Drosophila melanogaster: one gene and its partners. The protein of the gene in region 2 interacts with the protein of the main gene of each other region in a pairwise test. Each region holds a gene or a part of one and is shown on either strand. Other genes may lie near its edges. The genes, in order: eIF4B, CG31999, Hel89B and CG7745.

What was found.
Region 1: the proteins of CG31999 (region 2) and eIF4B interact in a two-hybrid assay, tested with the Drosophila melanogaster proteins (one large-scale study listed by BioGRID).
Region 3: the proteins of CG31999 (region 2) and Hel89B interact in a two-hybrid assay, tested with the Drosophila melanogaster proteins (one large-scale study listed by BioGRID).
Region 4: the proteins of CG31999 (region 2) and CG7745 interact in a two-hybrid assay, tested with the Drosophila melanogaster proteins (one large-scale study listed by BioGRID).

The regions. Positions count from the first base shown.
Region 1 is NT_037436.4:27,854,464-27,860,709, forward strand, and holds the start of eIF4B (eukaryotic translation initiation factor 4B), read right to left. Parts: upstream 3,809-6,246; 5' UTR 3,741-3,808; coding exon 3,728-3,740; intron 3,473-3,727; coding exon 2,321-3,472; coding exon of another isoform or gene 2,313-2,320; exon of another isoform or gene 2,245-2,312; coding exon of another isoform or gene 2,240-2,244; exon of another isoform or gene 1,903-2,239; intron 1-1,902.
Region 2 is NC_004353.4:224,020-230,741, forward strand, and holds the start of CG31999 (uncharacterized protein), read right to left. Parts: upstream 3,730-6,722; 5' UTR 3,657-3,729; intron 2,532-3,656; 5' UTR 1,816-2,531; coding exon 1,743-1,815; intron 421-1,742; coding exon 1-420. Other genes in the region: yellow-h, read left to right, coding at 3,986-4,221, 4,886-5,552, 5,892-6,380.
Region 3 is NT_033777.3:15,970,342-15,976,915, forward strand, and holds the start of Hel89B (helicase 89B), read left to right. Parts: upstream 1-2,956; 5' UTR 2,957-3,483; intron 3,484-6,223; exon of another isoform or gene 6,224-6,323; intron 6,324-6,574. Other genes in the region: mor (moira), read right to left, coding at 1-588, 652-982, 1,033-1,957, 2,138-2,263, 2,355-2,471.
Region 4 is NT_033778.4:11,305,583-11,311,548, reverse strand, and holds CG7745 (uncharacterized protein), read right to left. Parts: upstream 3,671-5,966; 5' UTR 3,603-3,670; coding exon 3,452-3,602; intron 3,394-3,451; coding exon 2,024-3,393; 3' UTR 1,720-2,023; downstream 1-1,719. Other genes in the region: CG43114 (uncharacterized protein), read right to left, coding at 442-575, 633-693; nompA (no mechanoreceptor potential A), read left to right, coding at 1-133, 203-390, 882-898; Fpps (farnesyl pyrophosphate synthase), read left to right, coding at 4,107-4,288, 4,590-4,684, 4,758-4,969, 5,029-5,390, 5,451-5,677, 5,738-5,919.

The DNA of each region.
Region 1 (6,246 bases), on a different chromosome or scaffold from region 2:
ATTTTTGTTTTTAAATTATCAGTGAAACTTAAGTAATAAAAGATGGTATTAATAAAAAAAAAACGGTTAGGATAGTTCATTTGCTTATTTAAAGAAAAATGATTAAAAATATAAATGTGAAATAGGAAAAAAAAATTACCCGGTCATAAAGTAATAGTAAATAATAGTAGTTAATATTTTAAAAATTATTACAGCCAGAATATAGTTTCAGGACTGAATGAATGATTAAATAAGGGCATATTTATGGTTATTGTAGTATTTTGTTCCATATCCTTAGTTTTTATTTAAGGTCGCACAGCTCCATTACATCCGGGCTCCAGATTTACATCTTGCAAAATTTAAAAGTTATCACTTGCTTTTATGACCGAGACTTCTCCCAGCGCAACACATTAGGCCACTCCATGACATAGACTGGATTAGCTACGAAGCACTATTTGGGAAGTGTACTTGTATATTTTTGGTCATTGTATTGTTAAAACGTCCTCTAATGCATATGGGAGCATCACCTTCTTAAATGTTTCGACGTATAGATAACGATCAGTGATGGTTTTGATCCTATAAGTCACCTAAAATACTAACTTGAGTCACTGCCGTCAAAACAAAAATATTTTCGCCTTAACCGACCCCAAGATTTTACTCCTCTGCACCAATTCAAGCGATCTCACGCAAACCTAAATCATTAGGCTTCATGTTTTTTTCTGAGTAATGCCGCTTTTTTTTTTTGGCCTCTTGAAATGAGGATCTGGATCGAGTCGTCTTCTAATTACTAATAAACTTACATTTTTCGAAGAAACAGACCCGAAAGTCGGAATCCTAGATTGTCCTCCTAAGCAACGATCTCACCTTTTGGTCAATAACTGCTAAGTTACTAAAGTGAAAAAATTTAATTAATTAAGTAAAGGAATGGAGAAAATAATGAGAAATAACTTTTTGCTTGACCGGCTTTAGTATTATTTAGACCGCACCCGTGCATACATATTGTATATACAGGGTGCGGCAGCAAAACTTCCTTTTTTAAATGCGCGCCATTCAGTTAGTTGATGTCATAGCGGAGCACTAATGGCCCCGTTCAAGAGGGGCTACTGCAAAGCTTTGTCCCGACACGGTTCAGTCGCCATCTTGCGTTGGAATAGTGAGGAGCGCGCCTTTGCCGTTGTGGCCTACTTTTCAAGCGGATGTTCGGTTATTAAAACACAGCGTGCATTTCGGTATCGCTTTAATTTAGCACTGTTGGCTCCTGTCCCTGAACGCAAATCAATTGTTACATGGGTCACTACATTCAGGCAAACTGCAAGCGCGACAAAACGAAGAACTGGAGTCCCTCGACCCGTTAGATCACCTGAGAACATTGAAGCAGTGAGAGCGCCAATATTGCGATCTCCACAGCGTTCTGCGCTCAAACACGCGTCTGACCTTTGACTATGACTATCCGATCGTTCTGGGAGAAGAATTCTTTATGATGACCTTAAATTCCATCGGTATGAGATGGCGATAGTGCAGGAATTTCACAACGTGTTTATGTGAACCGTCCAAGAACGCTAAAAGAGTTGAAAACCATCATCATCATAACACCTGCTATGCTAACAAGAGTCACGACAAACGCCAGAAATCGGTTTACGCAATGTATGGAGAATGGGGGACGTCACCTATCAGATTTCATCTTCAAAAAAATATAAATAAAAACTTTGGAACTACATTTACATTTACCTAAATTATAAAAATAAATAATTATTTTCCGATGCCCACAATAGTTTATATTGAGTTCTGAAAGAAGGAAATTATGCTGCCTGTAGCATATCAAAAATTTAATATGGAGAACACACATTATATACAATACATATGTATCTGAAGTGCACATTACTAATATTAAGTATTATATATGAAAATACCAACTATTTGAATAATTTTGTGCAACTCGAATTTTATTAATAGAATAATACAAGTTAATTATGATTTTTTTTTAAATAAAATATTTCCAGCTTGAAAATCGTGTTCTCGCATAAGTAAGCCCGCATACAGTATTTTTTGTGGTTTGGGTTTTAAGCAATGGTATAATTTACAGACATCGCATTTTTTGTCGGCACCCAAAAAGTAGGTGCACGGTGAAAACCAAATATATAGGAGATACGTTATTGATTATTTGCCAAATTACGGCTTCTCCCACATTTTCGAAAAATGTTAATTTGTTGTATTTTATGTGGCGTTGTATATTTCCTCCTCCTCTGATTATTTATTATTATTATGCTTTTTGATTAGATTAAAAACTCAAGTCAGATAAAATTCACTTCTACATTCAGACAAATATTTAGATTTTAGTTACCTGGACACTTATTAATTTTGTCGCTTTCCTTGTAGTCCTGATTCGTGCGCCAACTAACTGTTGCACTTAGACTTTCATTATCATTTTTATCCACCTGGAGCTCGGCAAGTTTTTCATTTAAACCCTGTTCTCTGCGCCCCTTATCCTGTTTTCGAGCGAGAGCCAATCTTTGCTCAATCTCCAACTCCCTTGCTGCTGTATCTACCGGTTTTGCAGACCCAAACACGTTTAATGATGAAGTTCCGCCTTGTTTATCCAAATTAAATTCATCAACGTCACATTTTTCGAATTCAATTGTCTTTACATCTGGCAATGGTAAAGTTCTTGGTTTTAAATTCAATTTTGGCCTTTCTTCTTCAACTTTGGATGTCTCTTCTCGGGAATATCTGTCTGCTATTTTGACTCGACCTTCGCGATATTTTTCAGATACTTGTTCAACTTCTCTGCGTGTAGGGGAAGTATCAATAGATTGCGGCCTTGCGCTCGTGCGCCAAGATCCAGGAGTGTTCACATCATCTCTATCTGGTAAAGATTTTCTCTCTCTATTAAAGCTTCTTTCAAAATTGGAAGAATAACCAAAGTTACTGCCGTTGTTTTGGCTGTCTCGCCTCCAATTTCCGGAATCCCTATTATCTCCATTATTTCCAAAACCATCAAACCGCCTATTACTTTTTTGGCGGCTTTGCTGGTCGTTTTCATTCGATAGCTCAATGCGAATGCGGCGACCTTTAATAGAGGGGTCTGGCAAGCTAAGTACATGAATTAAATCCTCTCGATTTTCCAACTCCACATAGCCAAAGCCTCTGGAACGACCATTTTCGCCATCTTCTCTTGGTAGTCTCAGAGATATTAAATTAATACCTTCAAAGAACTCGTAGAGGTCATCTTCATTTGCGTCAAATGGTAAATTATTGATATAAGCAATAAATGGGGCTTTATGAGGAATAGAATTATCGTCGAATATCCGATTTGCCCTCGGAGCGGTTGGAAGCTGATAAACCAACGGCAATGTACCACTTCCATCATCGCTATCATCGCCATCTAAATTTCGTATTTTTTTTGAGACTTGGGTTGTTCCGACTGGAGCGTCAGAATTACATAGAAATGATTGCAAGGAGATAACTGTTCCTTTATTCTTTTTGCCCTTCTTTCCTGAAAAATAAAATAAAATATTAAATTGAAATACATACTTAAGTAGAAATGATGACCAACCAATATATACAATAAAATATTATGTTAAGCAAGATTACACATATGCATGCAGGTGGACATGTGTTCCTTTTACATTACGTGTCAAGAAAAAATCCATGCGGAACCACACAATCTCACAATTAAATTACTACCTTTTTACAATTAATAAAAAAAATTTAAACTTTAAACTTAGATATTATAAAAAAAATTTCTAACCTGCGGACGCCATTTCAACCAATGTTTCCAATCTTTAATTTTGATAATTTACCGAATTCACAAAAATAGAGAAATCAATTTTCCTATATCGTTATCGATATTTATTTCGGGCTTAACTGCACTATTTTGACAACTGGTAATACCCAAAACCCAAAGAGCACATCCTAAAGAAACAGTTGGAAATTTTGACATATGTGAAAATCCGATACTTAGAATAAAATTGAATATTCCAGTAAAGTTTGATGACTTTTCTGTTTTTATTTTAAGCTCAAATATTAAGACACAATTTACTATGTATGTATATGTTTTAATCAAAGTTACTTGTCGCTCTCTTTCAAATTCGTTCATTTTTGTATGCTTTTTATGGCTAACATTGACTATGTACCGTAGTACGGAAATGTTTTCTAAATATGAATAGTAAAAAAATTTGTTTATTTGAACCTTAGTGTTAATATTTTTTTTCTAAATATGAAACAAATTTTAATACATACAATATAAAATAAAATTGTATCATGTAAATTCTTAGCACGATAAATTACTTAGTTTTGTTTTCAAATATAGTTAATAATAGCCTACTCGCTGCACAAGGCAGCTTTGTTGGAATGTAGGAATATAGAGTTCTTTAACAAAAAGCCAAAATTAATTTCCATGATTATGTGGAGCAATTAGTTCGTTTCAACAATTGTAGTACAGCTTACAATGATTTTCTTTTAATAGGGCCTGAGTGGTGTAAACTCCTGCATTTGACAATATATTATGAGCCTAATCATAATCTAACTTGCAGTCTAAGCTGGCGATGTTCCTTATTCCACTTTCCATTTTTTGCGACCCAGTGGAAAGTTCGGAAGAGTTTGTGAGAAATAATTGTTGTGTAGTGATATTTTATCCACATAACAAGAAAAAAGGTTGTTTCCATAACATAAACGCGTGCATGGTTTTCAATAAATTACAATGTACTATATGTATATACCCGTTACTCCTAGAGTAAAATGGTGTATTAGATTTGTTGAAAAGTAAGAAAAAACGTATCTTACGATTTCGATTTGCAATCGAAAAATCGGTGCTGAGGTTTTTGAAATGATAACAATTTTTCGATTTGTAAAACCGGCACTTTTGTCTGGCCGAAATGAAAAGTAAATATCTTTTTTATATCAAAAAATATAAAAATAGTTTACTCAGTAGTCTTTTGATGTTTATTCCACATCACCATAATATCATTCTCCCACTTAGTTATGTTATTAAAAATTTATTTCTGACCCCACCTCAAATTTTACAAACAAAATTTAGTAGCCTGTATATTCTTAATCAGGATCAATAGCCGAGTCGATCTGGCCATGTCCGTCTGTCTGTCTGTCCACTGTATCAACAACGGGATCTCTCAACTATAGAAGCTAAAGAGTTGAGATAAAGTATACAGGTTCCACAGACATAGAGCCCACTCTAACGCCCACTAACGTCCCAAAACTGACACGCTCTCACTTTTAAGCAATATACATATATAACAATAATATATCGAAATTCCAGAAAAATTATGACATTTCGCGTTCGCAGTCCCAGTACATAAGTAACGGGTATCTGATACTCGGAGAACTCGACTATTGAATTCTCTCTTCTTTTATATTATTAATTTAATTAATTAATTAATTAATTTATATTAATTAATTGTATTAATTATTCCCAATACAGATTTTTGTCTTTCGTCTATCATAGTATAAATAAGCAAAATAAACCAACACGGCTACTGATCAATTTATATACTTCTAGTTGAATAAAATATAAAAAGAGAATGCTTACAGAAGCATTTATGGGAATGCATCCAGAATTCCGGAATAATTCCACTTCCAATGTATTACAACAAGTTACCTTTAATGATTGCTTCTATATTGTTGATTGTAAAATGAATTCATTTCCTGAAAATTATACTCGAAAATAAAGTATCTTAAAGTACGTTCGTTGAAAGTATGTAACAGGCAGAAGTACGCGTTTCCGACCATATAAAGTACATTTGTACATTCTTGATGAGGATCAATAGCCGAGTCGATATGGCCATGTCCGACTGTCCGTAGAACGTCGAGATCTCAGGAACTATAAAAGCTAGAAAGTTTGCGATTCAGCATACAGTTTCTGGAGATATAAACGAAGCGAAAGTTTGTCGACACATTTTGCCACGCCCACTCTAACAACCGCACAAACCGCCCAAAACTGCCACACCTACATTTTTGAAATTTTTTTTTGATATTTTTTTCATAATTTTATTAGCTGTGTAAATTTTTATCGACCTGCCAAAAAACTTTACCGCGCCCACATTTTTGAACCATTTTTGGATATTTTTCATAGTTTTATAAGTCGTGTAAATTTCTATCGATTTTTAATTTTTTCTCATTTTATACCCCATATCGATATCCCAGAAAAATTATGAAATTTTGCTTTCGCATTCACACCAGCTAAGTAGCGAGTTGGGAAAGTCGGGGAACTCGACTATAGCATTCTTTCTTGTTCTGACTCAGTACTTACGATAA
Region 2 (6,722 bases):
AATTAGCCTTATCGATTTCGTCGATACCGGGCTGGTCTTTAAAGTCAGCAGATCCGTAACAGCACGCTCGGTATGATTCAATTAAGAAAATAAATGAAAATAATGGATCTTTGCAATTGGCTTTACTCGCTTTAACTGCTAATCCGATTTGACAAGAACGACAACATGTCGCATAGGAGCTAGATGTTACATTTCCTTCTCCGTCACAGCGAGTACCGTCTAAAGCAGCCAGTCGACCTAGCTCGCAATCTTGATGGTCCAGTTCTCGAGAACAGCAGACTTCAAGTGTAGAATGACAAAGTCCAAGCCAGAGCTGCGGGATTATTGTTGGGGCTATGTCGATTTTTTTGCAAGAGGCGGTCGTACGAGCATGTCGAAGTCCATTTATACAGCATTTTCGTATATAACCCGATATGCTGTCTTAAAACAAAATAAAACTTTCACTTTCGCTTGATCACAGGATATTTTAAGCCAGAGTATATATTGGTAAAAATCAAAAGGTTTCAACTCTATAAGTATTCTTAGTCAGTATCAACACATGAGTCCATATGGTGATGTCCCTTGCCCGAGGCTAGCATTCTTTTTCGTCATTTATCAATTTCATATCCGAAATCTAAATACCTTAGTGTGGTAATAATTTTAAAGCCTTATAACATAATAACTTAATAACTTAATAACTTAATAACTTAATAACTTAATAACTTAATAACTTAATAACTTAATAACTTAATAACTTAATAACTTAATAACTTAATAACTTAATAACTTAATAACTTAATAACTTAATAACTTAACAACTTAATAACTTAATAACTTAATAACTTAATAACTTAATAACTTAATAACTTAATAACTTAATAACTTAATAACTTAATAACTTAATAACTTAATAACTTAATAACTTAATAACTTAATAACTTAATAACTTAATAACTTAATAACTTAATAACTTAATAACTTAATAACTTAATAACTTAATAACTTAATAACTTAATAACTTAATAACTTAATAACTTAATAACTTAATAACTTAATAACTTAATAACTTAATAACTTAATAACTTAATAACTTTATAACTTTATAACTTTATAACTTTATAACTTTATAACTTAATAACTTAATAACTTAATAACTTAATAACTTAATAACTTTATAACTTAATAACTTTATAACTTTATAACTTTATAACTTTATAACTTTATAACTTAATAACTTAATAACTTAATAACTTAATAACTTAATAACTTAATAACTTAATAACTTAATAACTTAATAACTTAATAACTTAATAACTTAATAACTTAATAACTTAATAACTTAATAACTTAATAACTTAATAACTTAATAACTTAATAACTTAATAACTTAATAACTTAATAACTTAATAACTTAATAACTTAATAACTTAATAACTTAATAACTTAATAACTTAATAACTTAATAACTTAATAACTTAATAACTTAATAACTTAATAACTTAATAACTTAATAACTTAATAACTTAATAACTTAATAACTTAATAACTTAATAACTTAATAACTTAATAACTTAATAACTTAATAACTTAATAACTTAATAACTTTATAACTTTATAACTTTATAACTTAATAACTTTATAACTAACCTAATACAATTTTAAAGATTTGCCCAAAATATACAATGGGCGGTTTCAGTAGGCAGGTACATATATAAATATTCATATCTATTGACATATAAGCAAGTATACTACACATTACTTACCACTGGCCATTGTGGTGGTGACATGCCCTCCAACTATCAAGAAACACATAAAAGCACATAGTTTATAAAACATAACGGGTTCAGAAATCAAATCCGGGTAAAAAATAAAATTAATATAAAGATGGGAGCTTTAAATGAACAGGTCAGGCAATGAATGAGAAAATAAAGAACGCTCATGTGCATACGCTATCTGGAATTATCTCAGTCACTTAGCAGCGCACACATGCATGTTTGTATATGCTTGTATGTATGTATAGCAAATATATAATTTTAGAACGAAGAGGATTTAAGACTGAAACGCGTGTGGGCCAAAGCAAGCTGTTGACATATGTATGTACATATGTATGTATATAAGCCTACGCTATACGTTACATGTATTTACGTACATAAATATGTTTATTGTTCGACGACCTGCTGTTATATTTTCTTATTAAACACACTTTTATTTGCTAATCCCAGGTTTTGTGAATTGGAGCAATGTGAATTATTGAAACTAGGTAAAGGTAGCAGAAAACGTTTAAGATATGATCAATATACATACATACATATGTTCATTCAATTTGGTCACATTCTTCTCTGGCATCCTGAGCAAGTGCTCTGACCGAGATTCGGGGGTTCGCAATCACTATTCGTATAATAATGCGGTCTACGCGCTTGATAATTTTGGTTGTGCGCCAACCGACTCTTAGGTTCAAGCCTCTCCTCTTTTTCCGTGCGATTTAAAACATTGTAGACGGTCGTACGGGATACAGAAAACATTTCTACTAATTCTGGAATAGATTTTCCCAACTGGTGGTTATAGTTTATTAATTGGGTAACTTAAACAATTAATCTCTTTCCAGGCATTTTATCAAATTTAATAATTTACTTTAAGCACGTTCGATCAGCAAAATTTCACAAGCAAAGTCAAAAAATTTCAATAGAAGCGTAAAAATGCAATACAAAAACCAACCACGGAAAAACCAAACCAACCAAAAACCACGGAAAAATCGAGTTAGTTCTAAGAAAAAAAACAAGACAAAGTACGAAAACAAAATGTGTAGAGTTTCTTGACTTGTATATTTAATATTTTAATTTGTTTTTTGATTTATTAGTATAATAAATATTGTTTAATTAAATTTCATAAAAAAATTCCGTTTAATTAAGCAAATAACTCTTAATTTTTACCATTAAAGCCAAAAATTCAACTTATTTCACAGTGTGCAAACAGTTTCTTGACAAACTGTATGTATATCTCGGTAAAACCAAAGACACTATTTTAGTGTCTAGACACTATTCTAGTGTCTTTGGTACAACCATACCTGCTTAACTGTGACCGTCGTTTTGTCCGCTCTTTAAAATTTGAATTTTTTATTATATTTTATATTTTATTATACATACATACCTACGTTTTATAATAACTATACACAGATAAACGATGACCGACGGGGGCAAAGAGCTTAAAATCGGCTAGCAATCTAGATCAACAACATACATATATATGTAAGTGTTTACTTATAGGGTCGGAAATGGTGGCTTATATGTAAATATATATACATACAAATATATATACTTTTTTTTGGCGCAGACTATTTACCCCTATTACCCATCAAACCAAACCAACTCTTAAAGATGTGAAAAAAAGTGACGATCGAACAATCTACATGCAAGGATCTGATGTCAACATTTGAATTCATTCAACACTCTTTAAAACAATATTTATTTATTTTTTTAAAACTTATTTATATAAATCATTTGATGGAATTGAAATAATAGCTGTTTTTGCCAGCAAATAGATTGAGATATTGAATATAATACAAATTTTCTTGATCAATCAAAACCATTTGAAAAAATTGATGAAAGTTAAAATTTTTGTTAATACTGAGGATTATATTGCTCATGGTTAGTTTAGAAAAAACTCGTAAAACTCAATACCGATTAAAATTTGGGACAGGTCCGATAGTGAAATTAAGGCTACACGTTTGAATGAAATGCGAAACAAAAGAACAAATTCAAACAATTTCGGCTGGTGGAGATCAAGACAACACATAGATAGATACATACCTACATAGTTGAAAAAGCTTTAAAACAAAGCTTAAGCGTTGTCACAATACCTTACAAAAAAGCTCTGATCTGCATCAACAAGCATGTAAAAGATATTTTAAACATACATACATTAAATCAGTCTTTAAACGTTGGTAGATCTGGTCGATTGATTCCATAGAGTACATTTTTGAGAATTATTTATTTAATATTCAGCTAGGATGCAGTCTATGACTATCTTTAATATAATTACACAGTTAGTTTTTTTATCGAAGACTTTAAATGGAAACTTAAGTGTTCAACCAGTTTTCCAAACACTTGATGGCTATGAATATACTTCGCAGTCGTTTTCGCAAAACTTACAGAGTGAAAGTCAACTGGAGATCGTTTATGAATGGAAATATTTGGATTTCCTATACTCAACTTTTGTGCAACGCCAACAATCTATTTTAAATGGGTAACAAAACAATTTGGTTATAACAGTTTCTTACAAATCAAGAGATAATTTGAAAAATGTATTAATATTAATAACAAATTGTAGTACTAGTAAAAAAATCAAAAAATACGCCTTTAATAAATTTAAAATGCTTGTATTGTGAGAGGTATAAAAGAAAATTCGAAAAATAAACTATTTGACGCTCTTATGTCACAAATAGTCGAGATCCCCGACTATCAGATATCCGTTAATCAGCTCGTGGAACTGCGAATGCGAAAAAAAATTAACAAATTAATATCTTATCTCGAAAACTATAGGAGACTAGTTCTTATAAATACTTTCTTTTCATTCGAATCATTCAGTGCGTCTCATCCATATCTTTAATATTGATGAATAAATCCTAGCATTATCTCTAATGCTATAGTCGAGATCCCCGACTATCAGAATCCCGTTACACAGCTAGGGAAAATGCAAATGCAAATAAAGATCGACGTACATGGCCAGTTCGACTTGGCTATTGATCCTTATAAAGAATATTGTATATGACCATATAGAACATGGTCAGAAACGCTTCCTTCTGGCTGTTACAGACTGTTACATAAAGGATTATCATAATCTGGCTTTATGTGTTATTCTACTGCGCTGAATTTACTGTCTAATTATTATAATATATTAATATTTACAGAGACTTTGTACCAAAAAATAATTTACCTTTAGGCATTGATGTCCATAATAACCGCCTGTTTGTGACAACTCCTCGTTGGAAGAATGGTGTGCCTGCTAGCTTAGGTACACTGCCCTTTCCTCCAAAAGAGTCAAGCCCGGCAATAAAGCCGTATCCAAACTGGGAGGCTCATGGAAATCCAAACAATCCTGACTGCTCAAAACTGATGTCAGTTTATCGAACAGCTGTAGATAGGTGTGATCGAATTTGGCTAATTGATTCTGGAATTGTCAATGCTACAATAAACTTAAATCAGATCTGCCCACCAAAAATTGTTGTGTATGATCTTAAAAGTGACGAACTGATTGTTCGATACAATTTGGAAGCTTCTCATGTGAAGCAAGATTCGTTGCACTCCAATATTGTTGTGGATATTGGAGAAGATTGCGATGATGCGCATGCTATCGTATCGGATGTATGGAGATTTGGTCTACTTGTTTACAGCCTATCAAAAAACCGCAGCTGGCGCGTGACCAACTATAACTTTTATCCGGATCCCTTTGCTTCGGATTTTAATGTATACGGATTAAATTTTCAATGGCTGGATGGTGTTTTTGGAATGAGTATATATTACAATAAGAAAATAATGGAACGCGTTCTTTATTTTCATCCAATGGCAAGTTTCAAGGTGAGTATAAGGAGTATATAAATAAAGACAAGAAAATGGCTGGGAATTGATTTGATATTGATTTTAAAAAATGCCTTTCTTAACATTGTCTTTATTGTCTAAATAATGGCTCGCCGACTTACTTTTAAAAACCCCTCCTACAGCTTACTACTTGATCAGTCTTACTTAAGGTACTTAAATAAATCTAAATCTTAAGTAAGCTAATTATCTGCAGCTTGTAGGGTCCGAAAAGGCTTATTTCTGTTTTATTTTTATTAACCAAACTAGCAATCCCTTATACTCTACGAGTAACTGATATAATAATAATAATAATTGTGATTATAATACTTTCTCATTTAGGAGTTCATGGTGCCTATGAATATCTTGTTAAACGAATCTGTGTGGCAAACGAATACTCAAGAGTACGCCAAGTACTTCATACCAATTGGAGACCGCGGATATAATTCTCAATCATCTACATCAGGAGTTACAAGGAATGGCATTATGTTTTTTACACAAGTTCATCAAGATGATATTGGATGCTGGGATACATCGAAACCATACACTCGAGCACATTTGGGAAAATTTCATAATATGGAAAACTCAAATCTTATTCAATTTCCAAATGATTTAAAAGTAGACAAAGAAAAAGATCAAAATGTATGGCTTATAAGTAACCGACTACCAATTTTTCTATACAGCAATCTAGATTATGGAGAAGTAAATTTTCGAATTTTAAAGGCGAATGTAAATAAGATTATTCGCAATAGTGTTTGCAATCCGGATAATAGTTATATTAATACATCAAAGTCAGCTTTTGTGTTGATAGAAGAAGGACAGTGTTTTTGAAAACTATGGTAAATAAACAATTACACAACAAAATGTTGTAAATTTTTGAACAACCTTGGTATTTGCGTCCGTTACAAATGATACTCTAGTACCTTTTTTGAAGGTTTGGGTCTAACAGATTTTTGCGCTTTGTTGTGTCCAAGCAATTAACTAAATTGACTAAAAGAATAACAGTTTTTAAACGTGTACGAGTTCCAAATTGGCATAAGATCGGACTTTTAAGAACATACGTATCTAAAATTAGCTTTCTAGCTTTTAAAATTTTAAAGATCACGAAATTAAAATGGACGTACATTGCTAGATCAACTTGGCTTGCGATTCTGCTCGAATATTCGAAGTATA
Region 3 (6,574 bases), on a different chromosome or scaffold from region 2:
AGTCGAAGGAAATGCAGAATGCACTCGTCTTGAGTGCGAGATCCAACGTGCTCGCAGACCTTGTTCCAGTCGTCCTTGTGCATTTCCAAGCCCTCAAGCAACAGCAGAGTCTCCTGATCGGTCCATTCACGAGCCATGCTTGCCGCCGTTCGATTCCTCATGGCCGCCGGCTTCTTTGCGTACTGATCCAGCTTGAGTCCAAACTGGCTCACTCCGGAACTTAATCCTCCGGCAGCGCCATTCTCTAGAGCCTCTGTCTTGATGCCAGTCAGACCACTTTTATCGCCCAACTCCAGGCCGCCATCTTTACCCAATGGCTTTTTGTCCAGATCCAACAGCGTCTTTGCCGCCGACGGCTGTTGCGTCTTTTGCGGATTTATGGACTGTAGACCTGATGGCGTATCCGAAAGAATGTGAAAGTGTGAGGTTGGTGGTGGACCCATAGGGGTGGGGCGGACATCCGCATCGATCTGGTAGTTAATCAGGCCCCATTGCTCCAAGAAGGCGTGTACTCGCATTATGGCGCACACATCTCCGGCAAGATTACGCCTACAAGCTGTGCTGGTCAAATACTCCGTCGGATTGAGCCTGAAATAGATGAGTAACATATTCAAAACTATTTGCTGCAAAAAAAATGGAGCTTCAACTTACCTGTACGTATCAATCATAAAATTCCTGTAGGCCATATAGATTTCTGGTGTCTTTGACTTATTCTTGCTGTTAAAGAATTCCGGCATGGCCCGTTTCTCGATCACATGAATGGAGTTGTAATCAAACCAAGCCGAGTACGAAGGCACGATAATGTGGTGCGTCTGCTCGGTCACATTGTCCTCCATATCCTCTTTGGCCGATGAAGAGAATTCCTGCGTGTTGCTGTTATCACTTGTCTTGCCTGTCTGCGAGTTTTCCCCATCTCCGGTAGACATGGCTTGAGCGGCGCTTCCTCCAGTCATTTCGTCATCCAGATCGGTCATAGTGCCACCTAGATATCAGTTTGTTTAGTCAATGCAGATATAAGATAACAAAACTTACCTTTAATGGGCATCATGTCGTTGTCGCCACGAGATTTACCGCCCGGAGCTGGACTGGCGGTGGACTGCAAGGCGGCATTTGCCTTATGAACCTCCTGAACATTGGGCTCGGCCGGCGGATCATCCAGATCGCGAGTTAAGTCCTCGTCATCATCGTCGTTGCGCGACTTTTTGTGCACCACGGCGGGAGAACGCTTACGCTTGCCCGGCTTTGAGGTGGATGCCGAACTGGCGGGAGATGGTGAACGGCGTCTCTTCTGCTTGCCTCCGCCCGAGCTGGCAGCAGGCTTCTTCTTCTCGTCGCCGAATGACATGATGTCGTCTATGGACATACGCTGTTTGTGCGTCTTCTTCTTGCCCTGTTCGTCAACCTCGTAGTCCTCCTCGGCCATCCACTCATTGTACTGCTCCAGGTCCACGATCCAGGATGCAGACACACGCCAACGTTCCGCCGGTGACTCGGGATTCTCCGGAATGTGATCGGGCAGGTCAAAGTTATTCACAGCCCAAGAATCGTAGGACTCGGGGAAGTAGTACCAATGCAGCATCACATGTCCGCCGCGCTTGAAAATGGGCCGCGCATACTCGTCGGGATGTGGGTCCACCACAGGATAGACGATATGGGTGGCGTCCTCCTCGTCCGACACAATCTCTACCCGTCGATTGTCCAGGATCTCGCGCAGTTTTCCCTCGAAGCCCTTTTCAATCTCCGGCCGAATATAGATGTACGGTATGCGATACAAGTCCGCCTCGACCAACGCCTGCTCAATCTCGATCAGCAGCTGGATGTTGGGATCCTTGCGCGTGGGATTCTTGCCAATGGAGAAGTCGAACTTCTTGCCGCGTTGCTCGGCCCGGAAACGGAACATGGTCGAGAAAATGATGCACAGACCACCGCCGCTCTTGAAGTCCAGAAAGCAACGCATCTGGTGTGGGTGGTACGATTATTAGAGATATGTTTTAATGTACGTAAATCATGTAGCTAAATACAAAATATAAGCTAGTGGTCCAAACATTTGGCCATTGGAGGATTAATATTTACGTGTACACACGCAACACGGGGCACCCTGTCCCCCTCACCAACCACAGGCACTATCAATACTAACCGGAATTCTGGTTGCCGGCGGATCCGCTGAGTTCTTGCCCAGCTTGGCTTCCACATACTGCAGGAAGTGAATGAGCAATTGGGCCAAGGACTCCTTCGTGATGGGCTCCGAACTGTGGGCCAAATACTGCAATAAATACGGTTGTGAGTAAATCGTTTTTTTTTCGCCGCCTGACAGCGCCATTTTTGTTTGCGGCGGCGTTGTTGTTGGCACGCACCTTCTTGCAGTTCTTCTGCAGCCACTGGCGAATCGATTCAAAGCCCTGCAGCGTCTCCGGCGACTGGAAAAAGTCTATATTCGGACTTCCGTCCTTCTTAGGACCCAGTGTGTTCATGTTGCGGCACTTTTGTGGACTTTTTGTCAATTATCTTTTCACTTTTCCACGCCAAAAAGCCAATAAACGCTGCGTTGATAAAATAGAGATGGTATTTAAATCGATGTTGTTGTGACAGTCGTTATCGATATTTCAGCTATCTCCACTGAAAGTTATCATTATTTTAATCTTAGGTTAGGTTAATATATAAACCTATTGGTTGGTGGAAGCCATATATTAAATAACAAGAAAACATATTGGCTGTTAAGAGAATTATATAGACTTCGAAAAAGTTATAGCTAGCTAACGTGTCAGTTAGCTTTACATCTCAGTGGGAACAAGCTATTATGTGAAAATTGCTGTTAAATTCAATAATGCCATCTGGTCACAGTGGCGGTGGTGCTGTATTGGCGTCCCGCTCGCGCCGCCTAAAAACCGATGCACCACGATAGTCAGGCCGCACATATAAATGCGACTCCATCGCGCTAACATGGCTGCTGGGAACCGAAAACTTAAAAATATTGTGCTGTCAGAGTGTGTTTGCATCAGCGTGAAGCCCAGTGTTAAGTTAAAACATTGACTGCCTACGCCCACCAACGACAATTGCCGTAAATCGAATTCTGCCGTTATTCGCAACGCCGGATTCCCATCCGTGTGTCCGTCGCGAGTGTGCCAGTGTGCGTGAAAATAAAAAGTCAATGGTGCGTGAGTGCGAGTGAGTAGGAAGAAAGCAAAAGCGATTGGATTGATTTGTGACGCTGCTGGCGAAAAGCAGTACCCAGTACCCCTTTCCTTGGGCCAAAACACACACATACGTACGGCTATAGTAACTCAGCATCGATTGTACAGTTTGAGAGCAAACAATTCAATTAGAAAATGCAGAGCGCATGAGTTGAATTGTGAGTGGGCGCCCCACATAAGCTGACTGCTACCGCACAACGAAGGGAACTAGAAAGAGGAGTGCGTAGTGCGGAGAGAAGAGCAAATGCGAAGCGAAGAGGAAGAGAGCGAGAGAGAGCAACCATTGCCAAAGGTAAGTGATATAACACTCGGAGATCGGGAGTGGGAATGCGAATAGGAACATAAGGAACCCCTAAATTCTTATCCTAGATTGCAACATTATTTATATGGCAGCAACTTATCGCTTCCGCTTGCTTGTGTGCGTGCGATAGAGATAGATAGAGTGGGGCCAAGGGGCTCTGTTTATTGATAAGAGAGGAGAGCGAGCGAGAGAGAGGGAGAGAGAGAGGAGGTGGGCGCCAACGCAGCAAAACAGCGGAAATCCTTTACAAAAACTTGGTCTACCACTAGCTCTTTGTCTTCGCCTTCTAGTCTCTCTCATCTTGGCAGCCCGTTCTAGTGCGCGTATTTTTAGTCGCAACACATTGCCCAATTCGCCAGCCGCTATTTGTGTCGTCCATTTGTTCATTCATCGGGCTCTTTTTCCGATTTCAGTGGGTGGCATTTAACAATAATCCCTGCGTTCGCTGTCCACGTCCACATTACGATACGTTTAGTGCACGGAAAGAAATAAGCATGTGGTTTCATAATATTAGCTATTGAAAAAAGTTCTTAAATTTAAGCCTCACTCGATTCTGATGCATGAAATATTATTGGATTGTAAATGAGCGTCATGTTTTGGTATACAAATCTCAAAGTAATTTAAAAATTCTCATCTTACCGTACCTTGAACCACTACCAATCATCTCAGTACAGCATTTCAGCGAATTTCTCACTGTGCACTACAATGCCAGGCGGTACAAGCACCTGTATTTATTTATGGTCCGCTGCCGTAATCGACTGCAGTCGCCGCTTCCCTCTCTCTTTTGCTACCAACAACTTGGGGTAGGGCACCTGAACTAGTTTCAAACGGCGGCGGTCGGCCTTTTCAGCTTTTTCGCATTTGCCATTTTCCCGCGGTTCGCAACATCAGCGACATTTGTCACAGTTTCTTAAAGAACATTTGAATATCCAAAGTTTACTTGCCGAACTTGACTGCGGCATTGCGATGATGATGCTGCCCGTTGTTTGTCATTCAGCTCCATTAATTCGATACCAATCAGTATTTCGTGCATTGTGCAAAATACGCAGCAACAGCTGTTCCAATATTGGCCAAATATGGTGCAAATATTGAACTCTTCGCATATAAAAAACATATGGCGCGATCAATGCCGAAATGTGTCATTTTCGGCGAATTTGAGCAGATGACCCATTGAGCCCATAATATGTACTTTATTGAATTTGAAAAATTTGTATTTCCCCAAGCAATAAAAACACAGAACTCCATATAAATCATCCCTTCTCTGGGAATTATGATATTAATAAGTGGGCGGACAATGAGCTAATCTTCCTTAGGGTTAAAAAAAGTACCCTCCATTACAATATAAACTTAGTCAAGTGTGACAAAATCATGTATATATATATTCATATAATTAATTTATTTTCGATGATCAAGCAAGGGAAATAGTCGCGCTTATCTTTAGTGTAAACAAATGACCCAGCATTTCCGCAGGCCCGTTTTAATCTGTAGAATACACATGTCTATTAATAAAAAAAAAGCTCACAGAACTTGCCACAAAAAAAAATTCGAAATACACTTAGCCTATCCTAATCGGTACTTTACGAGAGCCATTTAGTGATAATGAAAAAGTGAACATATTCGTGGCTTATCGTCCAATGGACATGTATGAAATAAATGCGCGACACGCAAATTAGGCTAAAATCAATATGGCAAAAATATCGCCTAATATCATGAACAGCTCGTAACGATTCTCCTTTTTAAGGATTACATTTTGTGACGATTAATTTAAAAGTTGCAAAGAATTTAAATTAATCTGGATTGCTACATACTGTTGTAATTAAGAGAGATTTAGCTACATATGTACGTTCTCACAGTGCGTTTCGTCACCATGACGACCAACCCCATTGATGACTGCGATTTTTTCTATCGATGTTCATCTAATGGAAACTTAATTACCCAGCCGGCGGAGCATTTTCCTGCATCCAATCTAGCCGATCCAATCCCAACCCCCCGCCTCAGTGGGTGGCTTCGACAAGGTCGCTGACAAATCGAAGTACAGCAGATTTGTCGCCGATAAATTGGATTTATGGTTGGTCGGATAAAGCCAAGCGACATGCCATATGTACAAACGATTTCATTATGACTTTTACGTCGTTTTTAATATTATGTATTTCTTTATTGTTTGTGTAAGTGTGTGTGTGTGTGTGCTTTATTGGCTTGATTACTTATGGATGGATAAACATTGTCAATAAATCTGCACGTGCCTTGAAGACTCGCCGTTTTTCGTTATTATTTATTCTAAACGTAAATGTAAATGTATTCTCAAAACGGTTCAGTGAACCGTGGTTTTTGCAATTTCTTATCACTGCATTGATAACAGGCATTCAAAACTGAAAGCGTCGAAAGTAAAAGTATGTGTCACTTTGGAATATCGATAATCTCCTTGTAATAATTCGAGGCGAACGGGCTCTAAACCAGGCGAATCGTTTGGGCCCCTTGGCGTTCGTACGTAATATGGGGGCACTAGTCCGGAATATGGAATATGGAAATGCCGTAATTTGCTCAATTGTCACGTTCTGCTCTAAGCTGTTAAGAACGCCTCGGCGGCCACAACGAAGTCATTATTCGCCATTCGCGTCGAGTGACTCAATTTACACAGCCTAACCCCACTTGCTGGCGGAGCTTAATAATGCCTCCCAGGAAATCCATACCAGTACCGACTAGGTCGTCCATGTCTTTTGCCTTCCTCGACCACGTGTCCAGTCTTTATTGGTCGATTGGATTGCGGTGGGAAAGGCTACATTTTGAGATTGCTACAGCGTCGTCGTGCTGAGCTATGCGGTCATTCTAAGGTACTACATTGTCAATGGAACTAATCAAATCGTACTAATTGGTTAATTTTTAATTTGCAATTATGTCACAGTTCGCGTGGGTATAAATCTTCTTTGGACGTAAATACTTAATACTTATACTTGAGAAATGTTCTATGTCGACTCGCATATTGGATATTTGTTTTTTTTAGATGTTCCATCTTTTTATCGACCACTGAGTAATAGTATTAAGCAATTTAGTATGGTTGCTAACATTCTTATTTATTTCGCGC
Region 4 (5,966 bases), on a different chromosome or scaffold from region 2:
ATGGAGGAGGAGGTGGAGCGGCGGCAGGAACTGGGGGCGGAGCCAATCAGAGCGCATCGAATCGGGCCTCAAACGCTTTTCGCACCAACATGTCCATGTTCGGCGGCTCATTACACAAGACATTTGCCACGGGGTGAGGAACGGCGAGTCGCCAATCGTCCAACCGGTCCACTTATGGGTTGTTTGTTTTATGTCTTTACAGCAATTTGGCGCGCATGTGCCAGCTGCCAGTGATAAATCCGATGCGTAGCACCAACCAGAGCAGCCACCAGTTCGAGGATCCCAGCGAGCCCATCTACACGGATCCCTCGCTCTTCGAGCGTTCCAGGCAAGTGGCGGACCATAGTGTAACACATCCGCAGAATGAGTTCCCGACCACCGTTCGCAATTGTAAATATGTTCGCCTTTATTCCGATTTGTCTAACCGTCACGTTAGCACCACTACAAGGGTCTGCAGATGCAGAGGCCCACCTTGTTGCAAAGTCCGTCCCGTCCACCGGCTATCTGGCAGTTGGTAGTGCACCAGTCGCCTTGCAACTGGCACAGGCCTTGGAACGTGGGCATCTCACCTGTAACTAAACCAGAAGTTAACTCCCAAGTTAGGCACAATCTCCAACTGAAATCAGACTCACTTGCATGGGCACCGACTAAACAGACTAACAAAATAAGCAGACAGACGCGTAGGTAGTCCATGCTGATGAGTTGTCAGATTTCGACTAATAAGCTGGCAAGCTGGATGGCTGGCTGCGAAGGCGATAAACCAAACCATATCAGTCAAATGAATCTGAACTCATCACTCCGCCGGCTCTCTTACGAAATATTTGGAATAATAATATTAAGCTAGCTGATTAACGCTTGGTCGTGTTTTGTTTCGTTCACAGATCGCTGCGAAGTCTGACCATGGTGGCCGAGTCCGAGGACAATCAGGAGGTCTGAGATTGCAACTCCAAGCCTCCTGTGATTAGTTGTAAATAAGCTAAAGGTTTTTAACTTCAGTTAATCAAAGACAATCCGACAAGTAAACACATACGCTAGCCAAATGCGTGGGACCCTCGAATATTCGGTGGTCCATTAAGTAGCCTAAGAATTGCACCACTGACCAGTATCCAAATATTATGATCTTATTTATCTAAGCCTAACAACAGAAAACACAAGCAAGTAATTATTCTCTCTACCAGCTAAGATATGAAACGCAATAAAGCCTAAACATATTCATATCACCACAGACTTTCGTTCTGCCCAGAGGAATGCAAAGCTGATCGGTCATTAATCAACGTACAGGATTGCAATTGCAGTGGCACTTTGAATGGCCGCTTGGCCAGTCGAGGGTTAACGAGCTAGGCCAATTGCCAGTTGCAGTGGCAGTTTCCGTTGCAGACAGTAGCCAGCGGGTCTTAGTAGTTGCAATTGCATCCCGCTTTGTGGGTAATCGGAGGGTTGGTCAAAGGCCACTCATAAATCAAGCAGCAGGACGGCTACTGAACATAACTGAAATTGGACCTCAGTGGGTCACGAAGCTTTACATATCATTAGGAACTACTTTCTTTATGATGACTACACTACTTTCGCATATGCGGTTGTAAACTTTCGTGCCGAAAATTCCACTATCAGCATGCGAAAATGGATCACATCCAGAGAAAACTTACCACAAAGCATCGTAGCATCCATTCCTGACCCCTTTTAACAAAAATGCCCAAATACACATAAATTGCAAATTTTCACATTGGAAAGACACTTTTCCATTGAGTACACTTTAATAAGAATTTAAATAAATTAAAACCGATCATTATATTCTTAAACATATATAAAAAAACATAAATTAATGCAGATATGGAATCCCAATTGCTGGTCTTGACTAGCACATTTGAAAAGTGTTCGGTAGAACGTAGAGCTTTGCAAATGACTCATTGGTGGGAAATTTGACCAAAGCGATGCAATTACTATTATCTGACAACCGTCTAACGAATAACATAAGTTAAGGATAATAGATTACATTATTTACAAATACCTAGTAGCTAGCCCTTTAATCGTCGAAGAATAGTATTTCTAGGATCCGTTTCTGTGCACTTTTCTTCCGTTCCTTGTTCATTTTCAGCAGTTCCGTGGTGACTAATTCTCCCAGCAAATGCTCAGACAACCGCTGCACACCCGGATGATTGGGCGGCGCCTGGAATTTCCCGAAGTTTGCGGGATGCGAACTGCTGGCCTGATGTGGGAACTGCTGGTATAACTGGAAAAGGAAGTCCGTGTTTGACGGAAACATGTTCTGGTGCTGTTGCTGCTGCTGGTTGTTGTGGCTATTATTGCCGCTGGGATTGTTGCTCCCGCTATTGCTGCTACTGTTATTCCCATTTCCATTGCCCCGCTGCATGGGCATCGAATTGCTGTAGTGATTCTCCTGCTGCATCATAGCCTGCGGCTCCATCAGATCATGGCTGTTCTCATCGGATTCGTCGTCCGAGTCATTGCCAAAGTGACTACCATTGCTGGTCATCTGGTTATGGGCATTGCCATTTAGTTGAATACGGGGTTTCTTCATATGGAAATGGCTCGATGACGAAGAGTCTAGACCATCGCCCTTGGGGTTATAGACATGTGACTGTTGCATCTGCAGAGTGGAACTGTTGCCGATGGAAGCGCCCGTGGCGCTGGAAGAGGAATGTACCACCGGAAGCTGCTGTTCAGATGCCGGCGACTGTTGCTGCGCTTGTTGCTGCTGCTGCTGCTGTTGTTGTTGCGTCTGCTGCTGAGGATGATGGGATCCTGCCCCAATTCCTTGCAGCGGCGACGACAGCGGTGATTTCATCGAGGATGATGTTGAGGTCAGACTGCCAGCGCTGTTCTGGGCCCCGTTCATGCCCACGGAGCCATCCTTGTATTGATCCTGATAACCTTGCGAGGAATCAGCCATTACAGCTGCAACGGCCGCCGCCTGTTGCTGCATTTGTGACTGTGATATGTGCTGGAGCTGCTGTGAGGCCACGGCAGCCGCAAAATCCCTGAACACCTGGTCCGCCTCGATCTTCACCTGGCCATTGACGTTTTCCAGCGCAGATGCAGCAACGTTACTCAGAGCACTCATTGCGTGTTGCTGATCCGGCTGGTGGTAAAGATGACTTTGCCCTGAGCTGCCAAACTGAGACACATTCTTCATGGAGCCATTGGACTTATCAACCTGGTATTCGTTGTAGCCGGAGCTGTTGGCGGACTGTGGAGATGTTAGGAAGTTCGGCACATGGCGGTAGGACTTGCGCGGCTGGATGTGCTGGTCCAAGAACTTCATTTTCTCCAGGTATGGACGCGACAGGTGTTCGTAGACAGGTGGATCGCCCTGCTTCCGCTGCGACACGTAGCGTTCGCGTAGGTACTTCCACCGCTTCTTGCACGTGTCCACTGGAAAGGAGGGCAACATTTATATAGAGGATCTGCCGGAGGAGCGCGTCTTCCTCACCATCCGTGCGCAGCTTCATCGCAATCAGCTGCCAGGCCTCGTCCTTCGTCTCGTACTTGCCACCATTGGCGCCGCCGTTGAGGTAGTACTTCTGCCGGTTGTAGATCACTCCGTGCTGCGCTACCTCGTCAATTAGCTGCTCATCCATCATTTTAGTTTAATTCGTGTTTTCAGCTGCCAATTTGCCTTTGGTGTATGTCAGGCCATTTCCAACACTGTTCATGGGACATCGAAACAGTGTGACCGAAAATGTAGCAGCAGAGTGTCAAATATAATTTGAAGATATTGATATCGAAATATATTCGACAATTTGCATCATGTTTAAATTCGTCAGCATTTTGATTTATATATAGTAATGCATTTAATTAATTAACACGCAATAAAATTAATAATTTCAGCAAAAGTAAATCATTTGCTGTTCCTGAATTTACTAAATAAAAATGTTTAAAAATTTAACTTATAAGTTACCTTCACAAAATTCTCGAAAAATAAAAGTCAGCTATAAAATAGTTGCTATAAACGTATTATGGTTATTTGAAATTTTAAGGTGGGTTCTTTTGCGAACCGAGATTCAGTCACACTGGCAATTTGGTACCCGAAGTTGAATTGCCGTTTTGTGAAGCGGATAGTTACCTGCCGATAATCTTAAATAAAAATGTTTAAACTGGCCCGTATGCTCCTGCCGCAGCAGCGGATCCTGGCCAGCCCGCTGCGCCTGCAACGCCTGATCTCTACCAGCGACGAGGTCAACGCAGAGCCCATCATCAAGTCCATGGACACCATTGGCGGCCTCCCCACCGAACTGGTCAACGAACAGAAGCTGAAGAAGACTAGCAGGTAATCAATCTACCGGTTTTCGCACTTGACCTTTGCCTTGCCTGTTTGTTTTGTTTACATTTCGACCGGTATGGGCATGGGCATGGTATGCATGTATCGGAGGCCTGTTTTGGGCGTGATTTTCGAAAAGGAGTTTCGGGGTCTTTTTTTCTTGATTTCAAGTGGGGGAGAAAGTTTGTATCGAGCCGCTTATGCAGTCACGTAGACCATAGATGCGTGCATGTGTGTGTGTATGTATTTGTGCCTGCCTGGTGGTGTCAGTTATGGGCTCTATTGTTCTTGACTTTTGTTTTGTCCACAGAACCTTATCGACGCTCCAAAATCACTCGGTTCCCATTGCCGCTCGCGTCACGGTGTCGAAAGATGAGAGTCGCGACTTTATGGCCGTGTTCCCAGGTGAGATTTGTTTATTTATGCCCAGTAACAATTATCATGCAAATACTAATGCTAATTATATTTCGATGTGCAGATCTTGTGCGTGACATCACCACCGTGACGAAGGCATACAATTGCAGCGACGCAGCCAAATGGTTCGCCCAAGTCCTCCAGTACAATGTGCCCAGGGGCAAGAAGAACCGCGGCATCCTCACCGTGCTCACGTATAAGAATCTAGTGCCCACCCAGGATCTTACGCCGGAGAACATAAAGCTCGCCCAGTATCTGGGCTGGTGTGTGGAAATGGTAGGAGTTTTATGCATTAAATAGTTTTCCTAATACAAAGTTATCGATCATCTTTTCAGCTCCAAAGTTTTTTCATCATCTCAGACGATGTGATGGACAACAGCACCACCAGACGCGGCCAACCCTGCTGGCACAAGGTGGAGAACGTGGGCCTGACTGCCATTAACGATGCTCTTATGATTGAAAACGCCATGTATGCCATTCTCAAGAAGCACTTCAGCCACTTGGACTGCTATGTCGCCCTAATGGAGCTCTTCCACGAAATCACATACATCACTACCTGCGGACAATCGTTGGACCAACTGAACTCGAACCGCTGTGTCTCGGAATTCACAATGGAAAACTACAAAGCAATTGTCGAAAATAAGACTGCCTATTACTCCTTCTACCTTCCATTCGCACTTGCTTTGCACTTGGCTGGGTAAGTAATGGCCATACATATATAAGATTCCGCTTATTAATCTTCCGCTCTATTGTTTAGCTATAAAGACGCAGAGGCCTTCCGTCAATCGAAGACCATTCTCCTAGAAATGGGCAACTTTTTCCAGGTTCAAGATGATTTCCTCGACTGCTTCGGTAATCCGGAAGTGACTGGTAAAATTGGAACCGACATTCAGGACAACAAGTGCTCGTGGCTGGCAGTGGTGGCAATGCAGCGAGCCAATGTCGAGCAAAAGCAAATCATGGTCGATTGCTATGGCAAAGAAGGTAAAACTAGCTTAGCAAACCCGCACAATTAGACATTGACTTTTGAATATTAACCTGCAGAACCAGCTAAAGTGGAGCGAGTGAAAGAACTGTACAAGGAACTTGGACTGCCATCCACCTATGCCATTTTCGAGGAGGAATCCTACAACATGATTAAAACGCACATACAACAAACCTCACGCGGGGTGCCTCACCAGACCTTCCTGCAAATACTCAACAAAATCTACCAACGTGACTCCTAAATTACTCAAGCGCAACGACTTTACGGATACGTTTTTAATTAAATTGT